2 linked regions of the Cricetulus griseus genome follow. The protein of the gene in region 2 interacts with the protein of the main gene of each other region in a biochemical or structural test. Links are inferred from orthologs where the notes say so. Each region holds a gene or a part of one and is shown on either strand. Other genes may lie near its edges.

What was found. The genes of interacting proteins can lie anywhere in the genome.
Region 1: of the proteins of Prkaa1 (region 2) and Rack1, one has a biochemical effect on the other in vitro, tested with the Homo sapiens proteins (2 studies listed by BioGRID). The link is inferred for Cricetulus griseus from reciprocal best matches to the Homo sapiens genes PRKAA1 and RACK1.

Annotation. Positions count from the first base shown.
Region 1 is NC_048600.1:63,455,416-63,463,352, reverse strand, and holds the start of Rack1 (receptor of activated protein C kinase 1), read right to left. Parts: upstream 4,802-7,937; 5' UTR 4,680-4,801; coding exon 4,571-4,679; intron 4,296-4,570; exon of another isoform or gene 4,228-4,295; intron 3,571-4,227; coding exon 3,399-3,570; intron 3,150-3,398; exon of another isoform or gene 3,070-3,149; intron 2,915-3,069; coding exon 2,767-2,914; intron 2,334-2,766; exon of another isoform or gene 2,266-2,333; intron 2,088-2,265; coding exon 1,992-2,087; intron 1,676-1,991; coding exon 1,565-1,675; intron 1,130-1,564; coding exon 989-1,129; intron 113-988; coding exon 2-112; intron 1-1. UniProt on the Homo sapiens protein: Scaffolding protein involved in the recruitment, assembly and/or regulation of a variety of signaling molecules. Interacts with a wide variety of proteins and plays a role in many cellular processes.
Region 2 is NC_048595.1:339,152,465-339,160,301, reverse strand, and holds part of Prkaa1 (5'-AMP-activated protein kinase catalytic subunit alpha-1), read right to left. Parts: intron 7,243-7,837; coding exon 7,018-7,242; intron 5,123-7,017; coding exon 4,636-5,122; intron 4,526-4,635; coding exon 4,399-4,525; intron 2,217-4,398; coding exon 1,972-2,216; 3' UTR 1-1,971. UniProt on the Homo sapiens protein: Catalytic subunit of AMP-activated protein kinase (AMPK), an energy sensor protein kinase that plays a key role in regulating cellular energy metabolism.

The DNA of each region.
Region 1 (7,937 bases), on a different chromosome or scaffold from region 2:
CCTGGCCATCAGCAGACCATGCCAGGGAGGTACACTGGGGTGGCTCTGCCTTGCTGCTGGTGCTGATAACTTCCTGCTTCAATTCATCTACAATGATCTTGCCCTCCAAATCCTGAAAACAAACCAAAATCAGGTAAGGATGCCCATAACAATTATGCAATGGACTTTTATGGTCTGTAGTATGTTGTCATACCATAGCTTTTTTTTTTTTAAATGGAGACCTTAAGATGGCAAATTAAAGGGCCTTTGCTTGACACCTAAAACAGTTTATTCCTCAAACTATGGAGGAGACAGAATTCCCTGGCTATGGGCCAGTTATCCTGTACCACAGACAGTAATGAACTACTTGGAAAGCCTATTTCTAATTCAGATTTCCAGATTATTTTTTCTTTCAAGGACATATGAAATATCAACCCCCACCCTAGCAACCCACAATCATTTAGAGGGCCAGTGGTTTAGTTATACAATTGGAGCTACTTGGAAGGCTGAGGCAGACTGCCAAGTTCTAGATCTGACCATGTAACTTAGTCAAGATGACTCCTCATAAATGTAAGGTCAGCCTGGGTTACACACTGTCCAAAACATAAAAATACCACATAGAATCCCCAGTCTTTTAGTTGATACTAGTGGCACATGTGGTAGGGATTTGATTTATGCCTCTCATGCATTAGCTAAGTGCTCTACTACCTGCTACACACTACTGGGATTATTTTTGCTTATCTTTCATGGTGTGTGGCTGTAACTGTTAATGGTCATCTAGTGAGTAGATACCACATATGCTGACAAAATAGCCTCTCAAAGGAGAATTACTTTGGCCCAAATGACTCAACAAATTGCCAAATATGGGCATTCCCTTTTATTAGTCAAATGTTGCCCAGTGCTGCTAAGTGTTAAGAAAAAATAATCCCAACTTGTCAACTGACAGCAGCTGAATGATGAATCTACCAATAAAGCTTGAAATCAATGTGGTGCACAACAGATCACTTACCCAAATCTTGATACTGGGGCCTGTGGCAGCACAGAGCCAGTAGCGGTTGGGGCTGAAGCACAAGGCATTGATGATGTCCCCACCATCTAGTGTGTAAAGGTGCTTGCCTTCATTGAGATCCCACAGCATAGCCTGGCCATCCTGGACGGACATAAATGGTGAGTTAGGATAGATAAAGCTAATGGTTGAAGTGTCAGCGTTCATGGTCCTAAGACCTTCCCTGTAATGTATAATACGTATATCAACTTACTTTTATTTATGTATACAGTGTGTTTTGCCTGTGTGTAGCCCTAATCCAGAAGAGGACACTAGATCTTATTAGATGGTCTTGAGCCACCATGTAGTTGTTAGGAATTGAACTCAGGACCTCTGGGAGAACAGTCAGTGCTCTTAATCCCAGAGCCATCTATTCAGCTACCAACTTAGTTTTAAAGGAAAATTTCTTTGGTATGCCTTTCTATATATTTTATGATAATCCTTAGAAACATTCCCACATTTTAAGCTCATCTTTTAACTGGTACATGCTATCAGATGAAAGTGTTCTCCATAAATAAAGATCAGAGGTCCCCTAAATACCTTGCCTCCAGAAGCACAGAGGGATCCATCTGGAGAGACTGTCACTGTGTTCAGATAGCCAGTGTGGCCAATGTGGTTGGTCTTCAGCTTGCAGTTAGCCAAGTTCCATACCTAGGGAAAAAGGTGAGTGACCAGGATTATGGCCACAAGAAAGAATAGCATCTTCCTTAAAGGTAACTCATAACAGGTTTTTATGCAAGCGCATGTAATCCCAATATTTGAGTGGCTGACACAGGCCTATCAGAGATACAGAGTGAGATCTGGCCTCAAAAACAAACTCAATCCCTAATGAACTTAGATAAAGCATCAAGAGCCAAAGCCAAGGTAATTTAATTTGCAAAACATTCCAAACCGGAGTGATTACCATCTCAGAGGAATGGGAACATTTTTAGATTTCTAATGGGGCCAGGCCATTGTTGAAGCTCACCTTGACCAGCTTGTCCCATCCACAGGAGACGATGATAGGGTTGCTACTGTTCGGGGAGAAGCGGACACAAGACACCCATTCTGAATGACTCTCATCCTACAGAAGATGCAAGGTAAGTAAGAGGACTACAGATAACTACCCTAAGTGGGGCAACAGCACTCTCTGGCAAACCTATACTTCTGGATCAACAGAACAGTTGGTAAAGTCATTTGTCAAGCCTGCTGATTCATATTTGAGTCCTAGGATGCCTCCTCATGGAGCACAGTGCCAGGCACAGCTCAGAAACAGCCTCTGGATTTCAGCACTGCACCTCAGATGGCATGTTGGAGTCATCACTGCTCTGCCTGGCTTGTAGCCCCCAAGTACTTAAACATACTTCCAGGAGGTAGGTAGAGATTTTAAAACCCCCTAACCCTTAGGGAAGTTATGGGACACATCTGGGTATTTGCTCATGTGTAAGGGCCTGCCCAATAGATGCCTTGGCCTAGGGTTCCATGCCCCAACTCAGAAGAAAAATCAACTCCCAAGTCCCAAGCCACTCATGAGCAAGAATGCATTAAATATATAGTAAAAACCAACCAAATCCCAGACAAATGCCACACATTACAAAAGAGCTAGATGGTGGCACACAGCTTTGATCCCAGCATGCAATAAGCAGACCAAAGTTCTAGTCTAAGCAGGGTTACATAGTAATGAACCATCTCAAAACTGCAACAAAATCCCCAAGGGCTGGGAGATAACCTCTAACTTGTAGCCTTTACCTCCATCACTTTACCTGGACAGTGTATTTGCAGACACCGAGAGTATTCCATAACTTTATGGTCTTGTCTCGAGATCCAGACACAATCTGCCGGTTGTCGGAGGAGAAGGCTACACTCAGTACATCCTTAGTATGGCCTACAAATCGTCTCGTGGTGGTGCCCCTAAATGGGAGAACCTGGTCACTTTCTAGACAAATCTTATCCTTTTAGTCAGACCCTTTTCTTGGCTACATTGCTGCTCCAGTAGGCTCTATCACTCCACACAGCTTATATGTGGCTTTGTTCTATTATTAGCCCATTCTTGGTATGTGCCAGAGAACCCATTCAGAATTGCAGGACATGTCCTCATTCCCTTGTGGGGATTGGTTGACAATGTCTTCTTGTCATCACTAGGATCCTCTATTACACCTGCCAAATGCTCATCTAGGACAGCTTTCAAGATGAAACACTTATTTTAACAGCTGGCGGTACCCGGTAAAAACGCTCCAACTACACGACAGCCCTCTAGCTCCCTCCTCAAAGAGGTCAACACCAACATCTTACCCCACCCTCCATAAAAAAACCAATTTCCGAGGGAGACCACACCCTCGGGAATCTACCTCAATTTTGCCCAGCTCTCCCCCAAGGTCCCAAAGCAGCTACTTGCGTTGTGAGATCCCAGAGGCGCAGTGTTCCATCCCAGGAGCCTGAGAGGGCAAACTGGCCATCAGAGGAGATAACGACATCACTGACAAAATGGGAGTGACCTCGAAGCGCACGCTGTGGTATGCCATAGTTGGTCTCGTCCCTGGTTAGCTTCCACATGATGATGGTCTTGTCTGAAAAGGTTGGGGAAGAAATTACATAGGCACCCACACCTATATACTGGGCATAATTTACAGTGCTTTACGGTTACTGGTGTAATAACAAGGGGAGCATCACTACATTCAGTGAGAGGAACTGAAAAGATGTAAGGCACACCCGAGACTATGGGGTACCACACTTGCTGGGATTGAAACTCAAATCCAACCCAAGATTAATTTGTGTTGAATGTTTCCCCTCCATGTGTGCCCATGTTGTTTTTAGAAGAGGGTGTCAGATTCCCTGTAACTACCTACAATTGCAAGTCACCATGTGGGTTCTGGGAAACAAACCTTACCTAGTCCCCTTGAGGAGCCAGTTTTATCTATCATCACTCCAGCACAAGGCTAACTCAAAAGTAGCAAAGTCACTTGGGTGTGGGATAAGCAGACCACCTTTTGTGCCTTTAAGGGTTGACTAGAAATGCAGTAGCTATGGTAGAATAAGACAGTCCTAGCCATGCACCATGTCAAACCATACAGAAACGAATAAAGTGCCTGATAAGCTTCACACGAGAATGAACATAAATTTGGGCAGATAGGGAGACCTGGGTGGGCAAATCATGATAAAGATAAGTCATGAGGAAAAATAAAAAGCCTTAGTTTACGCACTGCTCAGAGCTCAGGGCCAGACGGCAGCTCAGAAACAGCCTCTGGATTTCAGCAAAGTAGCTCAGATGGCATGTTGGGGTCATCATTGCTCCGCCTGGCTTGTAGCTCCCTAACTACTTAAATATATCTCGAGAAGACAGACGAAGAGATTTAGTCACCTAATCTTATGGGAGTTATGCGACACCTCTCGGTTTCCGTCCATGTGCAAAGGGTCGCCCTAGTTGGGGCCCAGGTTCGGGTCTGCACGCCCCAACTCATAACTGGGTGGGGGAATGGACCAAGCCAGCCAACCCACGCGCCACCTGCGAAGCCAGGAGACGCGCAGTCCCCGGGAAACGCGCTATTTCGCCCGGCATGCAGCCCGTACCTCGAGACGCAGACAGAATCATGTCTGGGAACTGCGGGGTGGTGGCGATCTGTGTTACCCAGCCGTTATGGCCTTTGAGGGTCCCACGAAGGGTCATCTGCTCCGTCATGGCTGCAGCTGATACGAGTGTCGCCGCAGCGACAAGGATGGCACCGGATAGCTCAGAGAGCCAAGCACCACAGCGGCAGCCACAGCGACGCCGCGGAGAAAAAGAAAGAGCGGCCTCCGGCGGAACCGGAAATACCCGGAGAGCAAGGCGGGGGTTCCCATGATTCCCTGCTGCTCAAAGATGGCGTCACCAGGTAGTGGGAGGGGCTGGGCGCGGTAAGTCGCAATGTCGCCGTTTCTTCTGCCACGGAACATAATTTGGCGACTGCTGAACAAATGCGTTCTTAAGTAAGCTTTACTGGGTTTTAATAAAGGCTCCTCGGCAGATTAGTACGTGTTCAGGAAGGAAAAGTAAGACGACCGGCTCATCGCCATACTGCAGCGGCTCCTCCCTCCCCGGCTACGTGGCAGAGACGGCGCCCCGCCCTTTTCGCTTGGTGTTCCGGTTCCTGGGTTGGCGACTCCGATTTAAGCTATGACCTAAGGAAGTATATTTGAAGTTGCAATTAAAGGCGTGTGCCGTCCAATCTGGCCCTTTTGTTTTAAGGGATTTTTATTGGAATCCCTTTCTGTGACTCTGACCATTCCACAGAAAAGCCTGCTAGTTTGTCTTGTGTAGCCCTGAAAGAAGTGGCTGGACAGGGAAGCGGAGGAACACTGATAATTTGGTAACCTGATGACCTTAATCTCAACACTTAAGTTTGCAGTGGCCCTCCGATGTCACAGATCTCTCCTTAAATTTTACAACTTTTTTTTTTCGTTTGTTTGGTTTTTTTGGGGGGGAATTGGGTTTCGAGACAGGGTTTCTCTGTGGCTTTGGAGCCTATCCTGGAACTCACTCTGTAGACCAGGCTGGTCTCGAATTCCAAGAGATCCGCCTGCCTCTGCCTCCCTAGTGCTGGGATTAAAGGCGTGCGCCACCAACGCCCAGCCCGCCTATTTTTTTTTTAATTTTTAAATTTATTTATCCATATAGTGTTCTGCCTGCATATGTTCCTGCACGCCAGAAGAGAGCAAATCTCGTTATGGATGGTAGTGAGCCACCTTGTGGTTGCTGGGAATTGAACTCTGGACCTCTTGAAGAACAACAGCCAGTGCTTTCAACCTCTTAGCCATCTCTCCAGTTTAAATATTTTTAAAAAGGACCACCAGTTAGGATGGTAGCAACCACTAACATCTATGAACTAAAGGTCACATTTATTTATTTTAGTTCTGTTGCTGAACTGCTGTTTTAGGCTTTAGGATACAGCTATGAACAGAAGAAAGAAAGAAAAAGCCAGATGGCCATTTTGTTTGCAATAATTTACATCTTGTGGTAGAGTAAGGCAATGTGGTTAAGAGTGAAGTAGGGAGCTGGGTGGTGGTGGCGCATGTCTTTAATCCCAGCACTCGGGAGGCAGAGGCAGGCGGATCTCAATGAGTTTGAGGCCAGCCTATCCTACAGAGTGATTTCCTGGGCAGCTAAGAATGTTACACAGAGAAACCCTGTCTCCAAAAACCAAAAATAAAAAAAGTGAAGTTTGGAGTAAAGACATAGGCAGATGCGAAAGCAATCTCCTGTGATCATGTTCTATTGCAAAGGTTCTTGACTGGTATATGAGGGCTGAACAGTGAGAGTTGGCACAGAACCTGCTAGATTAGGGTAAGCGCTGAGCAAGGTACATTGAAGGCATTTGGAAAGGAACATGTTAGGCGAGTATAGTGGCAAGGCTGCTGCACCCTGTGGTTGCCCAGCTGTGCAAAGACTAGGGCTTCTCACTTAAGGCCACTTGCTTTCTGGGCCTCTTGCAGGCCCCCGCCCCCCCCCCCCCCCCCCCCCCCCCCCCCCCCCCCCCCCCCCCCCCCGCTCCTTCCCGACTCTCTGGACTACACAGGGTGCTGTCCTAGATGTGTTCCTTTACAGCCTGATGAGTGTCTTTTTAGGACCCTAAGGTTATATATCACCTGTGTCCTTGGTAAACCCAACTGAATGACTTTCATTTTCTATTGTTTTGTTTCTGTGGTGGTCCTGGAAGTCACCTGTCCTTACTCACCCCATAATCAGTTTGCTGCCCTTTAGGTGGGTCATGCTAGCACCTTTCTGTGTCTCTGTACTGCTTTTCGTAAATAGAAAGGTGAATCACTACACCCACATTCTAGCTTCCTTTCGATGAACTGACATTTATTTCCCTTTGGAAAAAAAAGTCATTCTCTTTTTCCTCTGGTCTTGGGGATTGAATCTAGACTGTCTTGCTAGACAAGCATGCTGCCAGTGAGCTACATCTCATACTCCTTCCTTCCTTCCTTCCTTCCTTCCTTCCTCCCTCTCCTCCCTCCCTCCCTCCCTCCCTCCCTCCCTCTCTCTCTCTCTCTCTCTCTCTCTCTCTCCCTCTCCCTTCCTTTCTTTCTTTTTTCTTTCCTTTTCAAGACAGGGTTTCTTAGGGGGCTGGAGAGATGGCTCAAGGGTTAAGAGCACTGTCTGCTCTTCCAGAGGTCCTGAGTTCAATTCACAGCAATCACATAGTAGCTTACAACTATCTTTAATGAGATCTGGTACCCTCTTCTTGTGTGCAGATATACATGGAAGCAGAAAGTTGTATACATAATAAATAAATAAAATCTTAAAAAAAAAGCGGGGGGGGGATATTTAAAAAATAAAGATCAGGTTTCTCTGCGTAACAGTCCTGGCTATCCTGGAACTCATTTTGTACAACAGGCTGGCCTCGAACTCACTGAAATCTGCCTGCCTCTGCCTCCCCAGTGCTGGGATTAAAGGTGTGGGCCACCAATGCCTGGCCCAGACCCTTTGCTTCCTTTCTTTTTTTCCTCTTCCTCCCTTACCGCCCTCTTTTCCTCTCTTCATCCCCTTCCCAAGATAGGGTGTCACTGTGCAGCTCTCTGGCTGACCTTTACCATCCTACTACTAAAATCAGAGGCCTGCTCCACCAAGCCCTGTTACCTGTTTTTTTTCTTGATCTCTCCCTAGGACGTCCAAAAGAATCAGCATTTCTGAGCTAGCCTGGAAGTCTAAGTTTAAAATGAATGCTTCCCAGACCTTCCTGGGATGCCTGAGATGGATGGGACTGCTGCAGATCCTTTTCCCAGGAACTGGAGGTTGGGGGCGGGGTGTGTGTGGGGCAGCCTTGCCCACAGAGACTCTGCCTTTCACAGAGTCCCTGCCTACCACTACCTTGCTCTATCTCTGCCACCCTCAGGTACCACCTTCTTTCCTAGGATTGTGAGACCCGGACTGAGACTTGTGACCTGAAGCTGCTTTCAT
Region 2 (7,837 bases):
TTTCTTCACATCAGGAACACAATGCTGCATTTGGACATCATAAGTAATATCAGTAAACCCCAAACAGAGGACACACACACACACACACACACACACACACACACACACACACACACACACTCGCCCACACAAACACACTCGGTATAAATACAGTTCGGAACTCATTTAAATGGAGGATCCATTACTTTATACAGCATCCAAATTGGAGTTGAATAAAACAAGCCCTGAACAAAAGAATCATAATCTTTGTTTGGAATTCAGTGCATAAACCAAGCTATCATGACCTCCAAATTCATTCCCTTCTGGTTACGTAAGTGCTCAACACATTGGGGGGTGAGGGGGATTAAAATAAATATAGTGAAAAAAATATCTCTCCTGCAAAGGGAAAATGATTAATGTTTAAAGAAAATGTATTTTTGCATTGCTGGGATCAAACCCAGGATGCTGGGTGCATCCTAGACAAACACCACCACTGAGCTAGAGCCTCATACCCAATTTCTTAAACTTCAATAGAAGCCAAATGTGGACAATAAGACATTATTTGCTCATAAAACACCAAGCTTCATCTTCCCTGACTTTAAATCTTCATTTACAACTCAAATGCTGTGCTGTCACTGAAAGAGGAGAGGCATAGAAATCAGAGATCTAAGAAAGATATTACTTCTATAGCCACTAATTTTTTAAAAGTAAAACCTGAAATAAACTTGACCATTTTAAGAACTGATCCCTTCTCCACCTTTTCAGAATATTATTTACCTGATTAAAGAGATAGAGCTGAAATGAGACTGTAAATATAAACGGGATTCTGGACAGTTAAGAGATAAATATGGAAGGCCATTCACTGTCTGGAAATTACTCGTTTTATAATGCATTCAAGAGTTTCTTAAAGGACAATATTATTTTTAGGAGATGCTTAAGTATTTAGGACTGAGTATGTGTTTCTTAACATCTCAGTGGTTCAGAACAAAAGCATACATACATTCAAACATATATGCATATCTGTTTTTGTACATATGTGCATCTAGAGAGCAAATGCAGCCAAATAGGAGTTGTTGGAACTAAGTAGTAGACATACATGCGATCACTGTATTTTTTTTTTAAATGTCCAGAATAAAATCAGGGGTCAAAAATCCAATCCACGTATTCAAAGCTTATAAAAAATGTCCTTTCTATGCACTGAATCAATATTAAAAATATACAATCAAATGACATTCAACAGTGGCTGGCATGACAGCCAGAAGAATCCATGACAGTGAAAAAACATGATTCAGTACAGTATGAGCAACTCCACTCTTGGATCCAAAGCAGCACTTCATATACAAATCAAAGGGGGAAATTGTAGAAGTAAACTTAGGGCTCAGGGTTTCTGAATACATAAATTCTATGGATTTGGGGGCTTACAAGCTAAAGAAAAGATTTAAATTGAGTCTGTATCTGGTATGACTTACCACACAAAACAGCATTTTAATGTTGTGGAAATCGTTCACAATGTTACCAGAAATGGAAATAGTAGCTATTTAAGAAGCTAAGGAGCCCAGAAAACAGCATCACTTAAGAAGGTCTATGGGGAATTCTAGGCAAATAATTAATTCATGAAGCAAATATAAAACACATCAACATATGTGAAGGCTTTTATGGTAAATTTATGGCCTACAAAGCCCTGTTACACCAAATTAAAATGGTCAAAAATCAAGTGAGACCTACAATCCATTCTGTATATATTTTGCTGTATATATCTATTGAATAAGGGACAACAGAATGGTCCCAATTCATTTCCGCACATTAGGCTTTTATCATTTTCCAATCCCTGTGCAAACTGCATTCCAAAGGCCAATCCTTAGATATATGCATATATATATGTATATATATATACACACATATATATATATGTAAAACTTGATAAGTGGAAGTGTTTGGCTATAATTTATTATGCATGCTTATTGCATCAAAGAAATAAGCAAAGTTTTAGGTTTACTGTGCAAGAATTTTAATTAGATTTGCACACATTTCAAAAAATTCTATTGTGTGACTTCCTGGTCTTGGAGCTAAGTCAACCGGAGAAGAGTCGAGTGAGGTCACAGATGAGGTAAGAGAAACTTCTGACGGCTTTCCTTGAGCCTCAGCATCAGAGTCACTCCTTTGGCAAGACCGATAGTTGCTGATGGATCCCGATCTCTGTGGAGTAGCCGTCCCTGATTTGGCTTCTGTTATTTCATCTGGGTGAAAAGAATTCCCACATGTTACTATTTGTCCCTTGAGAGGTCCAACAGTATGGATCAGATTCTTTAAGTGAGACTACTGACTAGCTCCCCAGAGCATGTGTAATTTAAATACATTCTCAAATGGGGGTACTGTGCCTGGATTAAGCCACTCACTCACAGTTTCTCCACACAGCATGGAGAATGCCTATGATGGATGACCAGTTCACACAGGGTACACAATCTATCACTCTTGACTTTTACACTAAGAGCCAGGAAACTAATAACCTGAGTTTTAATTTAAAAAAAAAAAAAATCCCCTACCACTAAAAGTCTTTTCTATTAAAAGCACAGAATCAATCTCTTGAAATATGGATGATATCTTGGAAATCATCTCAGCCAAGAACCATTTTACTAATATAAAACAAAGCCAGAGAAAACAATGATTTGTTCAAGGAAACAAATGAACAGAAAGGTTCGGCCATTTGGGCACTCTACCCTCCCAACTTCAGTTCAGTGCTTTTCACTCTGCAGTTTCTCCTATTTCATCTGCGAGCATAACAGAGCAACAATTGCAATAAGCAAAACCAGAAAAGCAGGGACTAGTGGTACAGGCCTTCAATCCCAGCTACTCAGGAAGCTAAAGCAGGAGGGTCATAAGTTCAAGGCCTACCTGAGCTAGAGAGTTCAAGGACAACCTGGGTAACTTGTGAGACCTTCCTTCAAAATAACAAGTAAAAAGAGGGCTGGGGCTAGAGCTTATTGAAAAGGCCTGGATTCATCTCTAGCACCACAAAAGTAACACTAAAAGTGAAATCAAAGAGAAACTAGTTGGGAACAGAATACAAGTAGAAATAGTACTAGAGCAGAAATATAGAAATAGTAAGTATTCATTCACTTGGTCAAGTCCAAGAGTTGATATAACTATGACTGCAAAATTATCTAAATACCAAGAGAAAAATAAAGCTGGCTCCCGACCTCAAACTGTACTGATGTGTGTTAGATGACAGGTACATGTTATCCAGACATCTGAGCATGGTGCACACCTGTAACCAGCACTCAGAGATGAAACAAAGAGGACTGTCCCTCCAAACCAGGCCAGCCTACATAGAAGACCCTTTCTCAAAAGTAAATAACCATTCCATCATGTTGGCCAGAATATATCACAGCTCAAGCCTTTGTCTTTCTTAAACTCTGTAGGTGCTGACTTTGAGTCTGTAAGTAGTAATTCTAAATATCCTCCCATAATACTGGTTAACTGATTTGGAAGGACAGCCATAATCTTGTATTTATTTTCTTAAAGTACTTAATAGTAAATAAAACTACAGTAACATCAACCTTTGCTTTTCAATAAAAAATTTATGTTGCCAGAATGAACAAAGCAACAGAAATATGAAAGAAAATTATCACTTTAGAATTAAGCTGTATATTTTTAAAGATTTTACAGGACAATAATCATTTTCTACCTTGGGAGAGATGGGAGTGGTGATTGAAGACAGTGTTTTGTGTATGCTAGACAAGAACTTCACTACTGAACTAAATTCCTAGCCCCGGGATGATGAACTGTAAAAGAACAATGTACTACATGGAACAAGAATAACAGGATTCACAGTTGTCGGTGTCATGGAGCACAGAAGTCACATTTACTATTACTTCCCAGGAAAAAGCCAGGAAGTTTCATTAGACACAAAGGTTGAAGATGGAGAGGGCAGTGGGGGAGGATGATTAAAAACAAAGTATCTGTATGAAAGTATCATACTGGAGGCTAGGGAGATGACTTGGTAGATAAAGAGCCTGCCGCACTGCATAAGGACCTCAATTCCAATCCTCGGCACCTATGTAAAAGCCAGGCCAGGAGGTGCACATCTATAACCCCAACACTGAAGGCTGGAAATGAGAGGATCCCTGGGGCTTGCAGGCCAGTAAGTCTAGCCTAAGGGGCAACCTCCTGTTTGGAAAGAGGCCTTATCTCAAAAGTAAGATGGAGAGTGATGGAGAAGGCAGCTGACATTGACCTCTGCTGCCCTCACCCCATGTACACATGGGTGGGTGAGGAAAAGGGGGAGGGGGAGGGAGGGAGGGAGGAACTTACTACTTTTCATGCTTAGTTTTAATTCAAAACAAAAGAAAAGAAAAAACTATAAACCAAATTAGTTAAACAGGTATACCATATTACCTCTATGGGTTTTTGTGTACATACCATCAATACTACGGAAATCCAGTAAGTAAGTCCGACTATCCACTTGGTATAGCTGTAGACTCATTTTGGAAAATGTGCTTGTCACGGGGTTCTTCCTTCGTACACGCAAATAATAGGGGTTTACAACCTAGCATATGATATGGACAAAAACAAAGGCACATCCAATCAATTCTTCTACAAAAGACTTTTTGTCTGCAGGTTTCCCAAATGTGTTAGGTAGAATGCTTGCCTTCTTACCTTCCATTCATAATCCAATTGCTTGATTGCTCTACAAACTTCTGCCATAATATCATTTGGCCGACTTTGACTTCTAATTCCCAAATGCCACTTTGCTTTCCGCACACCTTGGTGTTTGGATTTCTGTGGGTTTAATTCATCAAGGGTGTGCCGTGCCCTTGGTGTTTCAGCAACCAAGAATGGTACCCTTTCAGGATGTGGCCGAGTTAAATGGTGGTCGTCTAGGAAAGAATCAGGTGGGCTTGTTGCCAAGTAGAAATCTTTGGCTTCGTTCATTATCCTCCTGTTATCAATTATGAGGTGGTAGGCAACTGCCAATGGGTCCTGGTGGTTTCTATTGTAAAGGCAGCTGAGAACCTCCTCCTCCGAACATTCAAACTTTTCACACACTTCTTTTAAGGCTTCATCATCAATCATGGTTGAACTGTATGATGGATCCTCCGGAAAGAGATATTTTGGAAGGTCCTGTTTAAACCATTCATGTTCCCTAAGAGGAAACAGCAGTGTGAGGGGAAGAATTTTGAGTAAAACCAAGAATAAAAACAATAACTTTCAAGAGTTTAAGAAATGAATTAATTTAATTTCTACCCACACTATATTACTACCATTTTTTTTTTAACTTTTTCTTCTTCTAGCTCATACTTCACTGAGTATGTTGAGAAAAATGTTGTAGCCTGCTGCTAGGGGTTTTTTTGGGGGGGAGAGGCGGCGGGGGGGGGGGGGGCTCGGCATTAATACAGGGTTTCTCTGTATAACCCTGACTGTCCTGAAACTCACTCAATAGACCAAGCTGGCCTCAAACTCACAGAGATCCACCTGCCTCTGCCTCCCGAGTGCTGAGATTAAAGGCATGCAGCACCACTGCCCGGCCCTGGCACTAATTTTTAAGGATTGCTGCAGCCAAATGAAAAGGTATGTCTACCCAAATGACAATGACAAAGTACAGATTTTTTTCCAGCTCAGAAAGAAACTATGTTGTGTAGCTTCACTGTATTCTCTTGTTTATACTGCCTCATGTTACATGAAAAAAAAAAAAAAAAAAACTTCTTACTGTATAATTAGTTTCAGGCTAAGCAATTCATACACATAAAATTTATCCTCATCCTCATGACCCAATTCTGTATGACTCAAAAGGCTATTCTCTGAATGATTCCCTATTATATCATTTAACTGCACATATAAATGGATATTGAACCATATCAAGAACTATGCTAAAACTTAAAAAACAAAAATGAAAATGAAAACAACACCAAAACACAGAAGAAAATACCCCAAAGAATAATGGTTATTGTCTAAGAAACTGACCAAAAGTATTATTTTATTCTCTTGTTTTTGTTTTGTTTTGTTTTGTTTTGTAATTTTAAGGGCATTTGTTTGTTTCCAAATGGAGACTGGTCTTGAGACAGAATCTCACCATGTAGACCAGGCTGGAATCAAACTCACTGCCATCCTCCTTCAGCTTCCCAAGTACTGGAATTATGGCTGTGTGCCACCATGCGTAGCATTTCTATCAGATTTTAATTATGAAAAAAATACCTAAAACATGCAAATCTACTTCTCACTTGGATATTTTACAACATCAATTTAATAGAACCAGTTTCCCTTCCCATCTGGGAGCTAAAGCCATGCCCTGCCACTTGGGATCTCCTTTTCAGCAGGCAGGGTCTCTCTATATAGCCCTGGCTGTCTTGAACAAACTCTGTAGACCAGGCTGGCCTTGAACTCACAGAGTTCCAACTGCCTCTACTTCCCGAGTACTGGGATTAAAGGTGTATGTCACCACTGCCTAGCTTCAGCAGGACTTTTAGCATGAGGGGTAAGTGGAAAGGAATAAAGCTTAAATTCACATGTTAGTCTCTTCCCGCTCTTCCTGGTTACCCCAAGGCTTTCTTATTTATTAACTCCTACAGGCATACAGTTTTCCTTCCTTCATTTCTTTCTTTCTTTTTCCCTCCCTCCCTCCCTCCCTCCCTCCCTCCCTCCCTCCCTCCCTTCCTTCTCTTCCTTCCTTCTATCCTTCCTTCCTTCCTTCCTTCCTCCAGTACCAGAAAAATGTACAGTCTAGCCATCAGAATCTCAAAGAATTAAGGAGAACAAAAAGGGAGGGGGATAAGACAACATTGATGGCAGAACAAAGACTCCATTAGGTACTCTGAGTGTTCATGAGAAATGGCTCACCTCAACTTGAGAAACGTATATCTGCCACCATCAGTTCCGCCTTACGTAAACTATGAGGTTCAACCACACACAATGCAACATTATCTATAAAACTCAATTTCCTATGACTCAAAGTGTACTGCTAGAAAAAAAATACGTCATTAATAAAATGAAATTTTATCTTGAGACTCAAAGAGGTAGAAAAGTACACTGGTTTAAAGTTACCTGATGTCTTTTATTGTGGCCCTCTTCATGGGATCTACCTGCAGCATATGCTTCAAAAGGCTGATCACAGAGGGATTTAAATACTGAGGGGTATAGAAAATCCCATCGCATATCTTCTTAAAAAGAGTTGGCACGTGGTCATCATCAAAGGGGAGGGTTCCACATAACAAGGCATAGAGAATGACCCCACTGCTCCAGATATCCACCTCAGGGCCTGCATACAATCTGAATAGGGAAGGCAGCTGCATTAATCACAACAGCCGAATGCACTACTCAACATTCTTCAAATACAAGTATTTTATGAAGAATAAATACAAGAAAATCATTTTCAAAGAAATGAGTGATCAGAATATGGTATTTATAGCAACTGCTGCACATCATACATAAAGATGTTAATGTTACCAGTATTGCCTTTTACAAGTTATGGTGTTTTGTCAATATTGAGCCATGGGTAAAATTGTTTTACTGCCTTACTATGACCCTTAAAGGGTCCTATCAATAAAACCCAATAAGGCTCATGATCAATGTTGAATTTGAGCCATGGAGATAAGATACTTTTTTAAAATAAATTTTATTCCATGTGCGCATGTGTGTGTGCACACGCGCGCATGCGGTAAAATGTGTATGTGCCATGTGTATATCTGTGCACACCCACAGTGAGTGTGGAGGTGAATGACAAGTTGTGGAGTCAGTTCTCTCCTTCGACCTTTAAGTAAGTTTCAGGGATCAAACTCTGGTCATCACACTTGGCAGGAAGCGCTTTCCCAGCTGAGTCATCTCACTGGACCAAGATTCAATTCTGTAGTGCCTGACTCTGAAC